Danio rerio: one gene and its partner. The protein of the gene in region 2 purifies or fractionates together with the protein of the main gene of each other region. This does not show direct contact. Links are inferred from orthologs where the notes say so. Each region holds a gene or a part of one and is shown on either strand. Other genes may lie near its edges.

Evidence for each region. The genes of interacting proteins can lie anywhere in the genome.
Region 1: the proteins of psme2 (region 2) and psmb7 purify together in Homo sapiens (affinity purification with mass spectrometry; 4 studies listed by BioGRID and IntAct, counting the BioPlex papers as one, with this or other methods). This does not show direct contact. The link is inferred for Danio rerio from reciprocal best matches to the Homo sapiens genes PSME2 and PSMB7.

What each region holds. Positions count from the first base shown.
Region 1 is NC_133196.1:9,696,600-9,700,750, reverse strand, and holds the start of psmb7 (proteasome subunit beta type-7), read right to left. Parts: upstream 2,801-4,151; 5' UTR 2,705-2,800; coding exon 2,643-2,704; intron 709-2,642; coding exon 615-708; intron 537-614; coding exon 439-536; intron 352-438; coding exon 211-351; intron 1-210. UniProt on the Homo sapiens protein: Component of the 20S core proteasome complex involved in the proteolytic degradation of most intracellular proteins. This complex plays numerous essential roles within the cell by associating with different regulatory particles.
Region 2 is NC_133187.1:13,894,828-13,898,584, reverse strand, and holds part of psme2 (proteasome activator complex subunit 2), read right to left. Parts: intron 1,515-3,757; coding exon 1,417-1,514; intron 1,331-1,416; coding exon 1,262-1,330; intron 271-1,261; coding exon 203-270; intron 1-202. UniProt on the Homo sapiens protein: Implicated in immunoproteasome assembly and required for efficient antigen processing. The PA28 activator complex enhances the generation of class I binding peptides by altering the cleavage pattern of the proteasome.

The DNA.
Region 1 (4,151 bases), on a different chromosome or scaffold from region 2:
CAGTCATTTCAGTTTAAAGGCCATAAAAAGAACACGTATACTTTCCATTAAAGTGAAATTACTGAACCTACACACAAAATGCTCGTTTTAGACAAAAAAAAAATACAAATCAGAAGGCACTAAGAGGTTTTTGCTTTTAAACTCTTCATTTAAACATCAGAATTCTACATTTAAGATCTATATTGCACACGCAGAATAGGTGTTTGTCACCTGAAGAGCATCTGTTTGAGCATGCGGTTTGCTGTGGCGACTCGTGGCAGACGACCGGTGGACAGAGAATGAAGCTCCAGGTTGGAGGAGATGATCTGTGTGGTCATCTCAGTGTCCGCCGCTGTACCTGCTCCACAACAGCTATGCAACAAATCAGAAAAACATGCAGTGTCATTTGATGTCAGGGATCAAAAACTACAAGCATGCATGACGTGAGTTTATACTCACTAAATGTTGGGAGAGATGTAGTGAATTTTAGAGCAGTTCTTATCAGCGACGATCATTCCTTCAGTTGCACGAGTGTCTGCACCTAAAACAACACCATCCTGAGACAGAAGTGAGACGTGAGTATCTAGTCAAACCTTGGATTTCACACATTAAATTCAACTGTTTTTTTTTCTTACCTTATAAACAATCCCACAGATAGTGGTTCCGGTTTTACGGGCAGCAGGAGAGCTGAAACCCAGTTTAGTGATGTCTGCCTCCAGAAGAGCATTTCTAAAATAGCACAAAGGTTTTATTTTGTTATTTAATCTCTGCTATTTTCTTATGGGTGTTATGCAACAATATGTTTTAGAAATCAATAGTATACAGAAGAATGTCAATAACAAATTCTAAAATCTAAGATCTTTTGACAACTAGTTGACACTTTGCACTTATCACCACTTATTGATTCACACTTATACTGTACATATAAGCATGGTCTGGTATAAGATTCTGACGGTAAGACAACCTTGGATGAAAGTTTTATGGTTTGACAGTATTGTGATTGCTGCTCTAAAATATATTATTTTTAAATGTCTGGGTAAAAAAAAAAAAAAAAAAAAAAAAAAAAACTAAAATTCCTCTTTTGAACACAATTTTGTTGTATTTTGAAAAGGAAATAAAAATAACGGTATAGCAGAAAATGCCGGTGGTTTTAAAACCTTGACTTTTCCAAAGCACGGTAAACCTTGAAAATGGTAATCATTCTATGCCTATGTACATATGTATCTTTGTGTTGTTCATAAAAACAATAAAAAACTTTAGACACAAACAATAAGTGAATTATTTGATTTAGCAGCTACTAAAAGACTCTTTTTATTCATTATACTAATCTGCTCATAAGACATTAAACAGAAATGATTTAACAAATTAAAAATAAACAAAACTTAAGTTCATTTAGATTTTTGTGTACAAACCTGGTACAAACACATGACATCGGGGCTGCAGAGTGTCAGTGTAAAAAAACACTACTAGTAAACTAAAAAAAATAAAAATAAATAAAAAAAATACATTACAAAATTACAAAAAAACTAAATTGTATATTTTATAAATAATATATACATTAGTTTGTGTTTTTACGCAATTAAACGGATTCAAAAGAGCTGGAGCTAATTAAACTGTGTTCAAAATTTTCCTGAGTCATTCACACGGGCCATAACTAAATGGTTCATAATAAAAAAGATGGGTTTGCTCAGCTCTCTATCTTACAAAAATCTGCTCTAAAATGGATAATATCCAACATTAACAAGCAGAAAGCCACTAGTTTTTCCAGTCAGCAAATGTACAACAAGCATTATGTTTTACATTCACGTTGACTGTATGGATCAGATACAGATCTCCTGCTTTCTCACCACTCCTTTATTCACATATATAAATATTCCGGTTTATAAAAGAAACTAAGTCGGGTTAAAGGAAATAATATAAAAGAAATCATAATTTAAAAGACGTACAATAACTTAAGTATTGGATTCATCTGTTCCAAAAAGACCCACCTGTATATGCAACTTAACCTTTCCGTTGAGTAAGTTTTAAATACAAATCAAATGGTTTTTTGACTTAAAATGTATTTATATATGAATGAAACTCACTTTAATTTACACTTTAAAAGTCAGTTTGGTGTAACGTTAATTGAGATACAGACTGTGTGGACGGGGTCCGCAGCCCACCAATAACAAAACATGAACAATGATTTTGTGTTTTACCTTTTAAAACATCAAACTCAAACCGCACCGTGTATTGATTAAATAAAAAAATGTTTTAGGCCAGAACAGAATGAAAAACAAATTAATCCACAGTTTACATGCTCATTTTTGTTGTGAACTTGCATACACACTTTAGGTGTGGGGTCCGCAGTCCAACAATGACAACACATTATCAACACTAACAAAAAAACGTACTCTTTCATATTAATAAACATATATATTTATATATTTTTTTATTTCACACAGAACGCAATGCTAATCATAATGTGTTTTACTTATTAAATCCGCTATTCAAATAAGCTTGAGCAAATTCTCCTGAGTCATTCACACAGGCCGTGGCTCAACCGATCATTAAAATGCCGTTAAACTTGTTTTAAACTCTCGGGCTTTTCGACGAATTAAAAACACAATAATTATCCAACGTCCCCGGCATAATAACAAATGATACAGACGCTTAAAACTCACCTCCTACAGTTTTCGAAACTGAAACCGCCGGGCTGGTACTGGCACACTGAGACGGTCGCCATGATTCTGCGGTCTCGCTTCCGGGAAGCGCTAGACTAGTTTCCCTCTGTGTCACACGTTAGAGCTTCCGCGCTCCGCCTCACATCTATAGGATAAGCAGTGTAGGAACCTATAGAGTAGGAATATATACCGTGTAACACGTGTCTCTGCTTCAGGCGCTCCCGCCAGATCATCCGCATATAGTTTTTATCGAAAGAGTTTACACGACAAAGAAATGTACACATTATAAGCCATTATAAAACGGATGATTTCTCTACTGAAAATAAAAGAGTTGGTTTTGAGTTGTCACGCTTTTATTTCATGGAATATTCTTCTGGATAGGCTTGTTCTCAAATTACATTTGTGTACAGTAAACCTAAACCTGCATATTACCCATTTTATTTCCATAAAGAAGCTATCAAACTGGAGTAAGTTGGTTAGAATCATTGTGAGACAATAATTATTTGCAGTAAAAAAATAAATAAACATCTTTAAAATTGTTTTTATCCCCCTTTTCTTTTTTCTCAGAACTGAGATCATGGTTTTAGAAATACTTGTGTAATATATGCCAAAATATATCTACAAATAACATTTAATATTTGAATATCTATTACCTCCAAGTCCGAGGCCATAGGGCTCCACCGGGAAAATGAGGTTTGCAATATATCCAGGTTGGAGGAAAGTCCTTACCCCATGTGGAGAAGTTGAAGTATTGGGTTTTGTTCCTGAGTGAAGGAAGGATGGAATGTGAGATTGGCAGGCGGATTGGTGCAGCAGCAGCAGTAATGTGGTCCATTGTTGTTAAGAAGGAGCTGAGTTGAGAGGCAAATCTTTACCGGTCAATCTACGTTCCATCACTTATGGTCATGAGCTTTGGGTCATGACCGAAAGGACAAGATCTCGGATACAAGCGGCTGAAATGAGTTTCCTTCTCAAGGTGACAGGGCGCACCCCTATAGATAGAATGAGGAGCTCTGTCACCCGAGAGGAGCTCGGAGTAGAGCCTCTGCTCCTCCACATTGAGAGAAGTCAGCTGAGGTGGCTCTGTTTCGAATGCCTCCTGGACGCCTACCTAGGGAGGTGTTCCAGACATGTCCCACCGGAATTAAGGAGGCCTCAGGGAAGACCCAGGACACGCTGGAGGGTTCTTTCCTAAAACTACTGCCCTCGCGACTCGCCCCAGGAAAATCTTGAAAATGAATGAATGATTTTATTTTTGGAGGTGACTAAATTATTGGTGGGAGCATTTTAATAATCTGTGGATAATGGTGGTGACATGTACCCTCAGTCCATGCTAATTCTACACCCTTGATCTAAAGCACAGGTGTCAAACTCAGTTCCAAAAGGGCCGCAGCTCTGCACAGTTTAGTTCCAACTCTAATTAAACAGACCTGATCAAACTAATTGAGTCCTTCAGGCTTGTTTGAAACCTACAGGTAAGTGTGTTCGAGCAGGGTTGGAACTAAACTG
Region 2 (3,757 bases):
CTGTTCTGCGAAAAAACACGATCCTGAAAATATGGCTGGTTTCATCTACTCCAGTTGATCTTTCTTGGAAACTCTACGTACTGGACATTTTGGAATATACCACAGCCAACTATTACTTTATTTATTATATTTGACTTTGCTTTACTTTGCTTTGTTGTATATAATTCAAAATCTAAAATATTTAATAAAAAAATGCTCATACTTGTTAATGTTGGTCTGGAATCCCTCGACTTTGGTCTTCACAGCAGTAATCCTCTCAAGGATTTTTTCCTAAAATATTAAAAGTCATTTTAGCCACTGGTTATCTTAAAATGAACAATATGAATGCACTGCAAAAAAAGCTTTTCTTCCTTAGGTTTTTTGTCTTGTTTCTAGTCCAAATATCGAGGGAAAAAAAAAAATATATATATAAATATATATATATCAACCAAGAGGCATTTTTACAAGCAAAAATGATTTTGTTTTCAGAAATAATATGCCAAAATTAAGGAGAGTTTTTTCCTTAAAACAAGCTGTACAATCTGTCAATGGGGTAAGAAACAAGATCTTGTTTTTACTTACTATAATAGCATTTTTCTTACCCCACTGGCAGATTATACAGCTTGTTTTAACAAAAAAGTCAAAATGCTATTCATCATAATATCTTTAAAACAGTTCCTCCACTGCCATCCAAAGCCACACTTCCTGAAACACGAATGCGTGCACCTTAAAGATGACAGTAAAAAACCCACTAGATCATGTCAATCGCCAGTTAGAAAACTTTACAGTACTTTATCATACTACTAATCAATTGAAAAACTCTTATATCTGTAATGTTTTCAGTTGTGTAGCAAGAGAAACTTGTCATAATGTGCAATATTTCATGCATGCAAAGATCGCTGGTCTCACTCTCTCACGCACTTTTTTTCTAAAGTGACTACTGTATGCTTAGTGGTTGGCCGACGGGGTGCAGAAATAACATTTATTACTAAGCCATTGTACAATTAGAATTTCAAATATCATATAAATACATTTAGATAATTTATTTTAATCATTTTTAACCAGCAAAAAAAAAAAAAAAAAAAAAAAATGTTTCTAAAGACAATCACCTAATGCACCTTTTATTAAGACAATCTGTTTTGCTTGTCTATAAAATGCTTCTTGAGTTAAGAATTGTATATAGTTGGACTAGAAACAAGACAAAAACTCTAAGTAAGGAACACATTTTTGGCAGTGTTTATATAAACCAGCTATCTTTAATTAGGTGTTAAAATGTAATAACCTGAATTGCAACTCCAAAGTCATTTCCATCTTCAATTTTGGGAATCAGATGAGCAATCCAGCAAGAAACCTGAGGAAAAAAGGATAAACTACTGCAAAATGACTGTATATCTGGTACAAATCTGAGAACTCTCCTAAAACCTTTTTCCCACTTACAGTGATACAGGTCTCCTTCAGACCCATTATCTCTGGTTTCACAATGTCAAGTAACTTCACAATCCTTTCATTTCCTTTGATGAAACCACACTTGGGAGCTAAAAAAAGTCACATTACAATTAATATTTCATATCTCCACAACATTTTACAATTATTATACTTTAGCATGCATACAGTACATACAGCACACAGGTTTTAATTGTGAGCATTGTGATCCACATTTCTCTGCATCTAAATTGTGAAGAACACTTATTTTTATATGCTAAGCAGGTTCCGTTATAATTGTTTTTAACCAGGTTATTAGGTGCTGACACCTTGTTAGTTTTAATTATTAATTTTTGAGTTTTATTTGAACCCACACAATGTGAGGTAAGGAAATATTGCAATGTCAAGTTTTATGCAATTTTGTTGTGCCAATAACTAAACCCTGCTCAAGTTATTTCATTATAATTACCCTGCTCAAGGTATTTTATTATAATCAGTCATTTCTCCTCTTTAAGGAATAGCTTACCCAAATATCTATATACTCTCTGTTTTTCTACTACAGGACGTTGATTGTTTGTTGCACTTTCAGTTTTCTTCAAAATATCTTAAGTGGTTTCAAATATTTATGAGTTTCTTTCTTCTTTTGAACACAAATTAAGGGTGAGTAAATAGTGGGTAATGTTTCATTTTTGGGTGAATTATCCCTTTAAGTCAACTTCCCAGACATTTAAGGTGTGTTCACGCTTGTAGTTGTCTTGATTTGTTTGGGCAAAAAAAAAAAAATCAATTTAGCCCTGGTTCAATTAACTGTCATTTTTAGGACATAAGCTTAAAATAAACAATAAAGTATTTATATTTATGTATATTGTAAGCTTGCTTTGTTAAGAACTTGTGAAGAGTTTAAAACATGAAAAAACAGATATGCTCAAGCATTCTGTGAACCTGAGATGGGTGAACCTTGCGACATCATATTCTGTTGTAACATTTATATTTCAATGAAACCCAGAGTTTCTTTGTTCAGTGTGCACCAAGTGTCAGATGACACTGTTCACACTGCTTTAAAAGAACTGGAGCACCAAATAATCACACCACTGTTTACCATTGTGCACTTGTGAGTATGCTTCACACAGGTGAATTAGCTTGACAAACAACCTGTGGGAAACACTTTTTTCTTTCCTCTCTATATGTGCCAGACTTTTTCTAATCAAAACAACAATCACGGGTGTGCTTTACACAGGTACCTGTGTAAAGCACAGGTTTACAAAGCACCTGTAAGAGACACACTCTTTTCTCATTCTCTACACACCAGACACTCTTAGTACAAAGACTCAACAAACAGATAATCAACTCAATGAATTAAGACTTGGAATGGCATCCACATGTTGCCACTCTGGTGATTGAAAGTTCTTTTTTCCCCATTTGTAAATGGCTTTTATAAAAGTGTCTGCTAAATTAATAAATGTAATACATTATGCACTATTACACTTAGCCATTTACTGTATAAATTTAATCGCTTTTCAAATGGAACACTAACATTTTTTAGGACTCATGTTTGGACTGTGTTTGCCCTGTACTATGTGCTTGTGTTGTGTTTACTTCCCCATGTGCTCCATGTTAATTTGATTCAGGTGTGTTTGGTCATGTGGTTCCTTTTTCTGTTTCCCTCCCTCGTTATCTTGTAGTATGTTCACCTGTTATTGTTATTATTTGTGCATTAAGTTCCTTTCTTCCCTTTCTGTCTGGTCTTGAATGTCTACCCTGTGTTTATCGCCACTGGCTTACATGGTTTAGGACTTGTAGAGCTGCACATCGATGAATTTAAGCTGCGGTCACACTGGGCTTTTCCTCCCATAGATTTCTATTCATATGCACGCGAATGCGTCAGACTGGAAACGCAGGGTCATGCGTTAAGTTTCGCAGGTTGCGGCTGTGCAAAGTTCAAGCTTGGTGAACTCTGACCTGCGAAATCGCATCACTTGACTGCATGAGACCAACCGAGGATCAAAACATGACCTCTCTGGACAGAAATTTTAAACATGGAGCAATTGCTCGCTTTTTTAATGCCTATTAATCTTGTTTAATTCTGTCTTTTTTCGCAACGCCGTACGACAGAATTTCGCACACACAAACTCTAGTGTGACCGCAGCTTCACACTTCAGTGTTTGGATTATCAGGAGTGAAAATAAAACCACACTGAGCTAAAGTGAACTGAACTTAAACTCTGACAACTAAACTGACATGGTTTCAATTCACTATAATCTTCTATGTGAATCTGCTTTGGCACAATTTACATTTTGAAAGTGCTATAGAAATAAAGATGAATTGAATTGTTTATACTCCTGTGCTGCATTCCTTT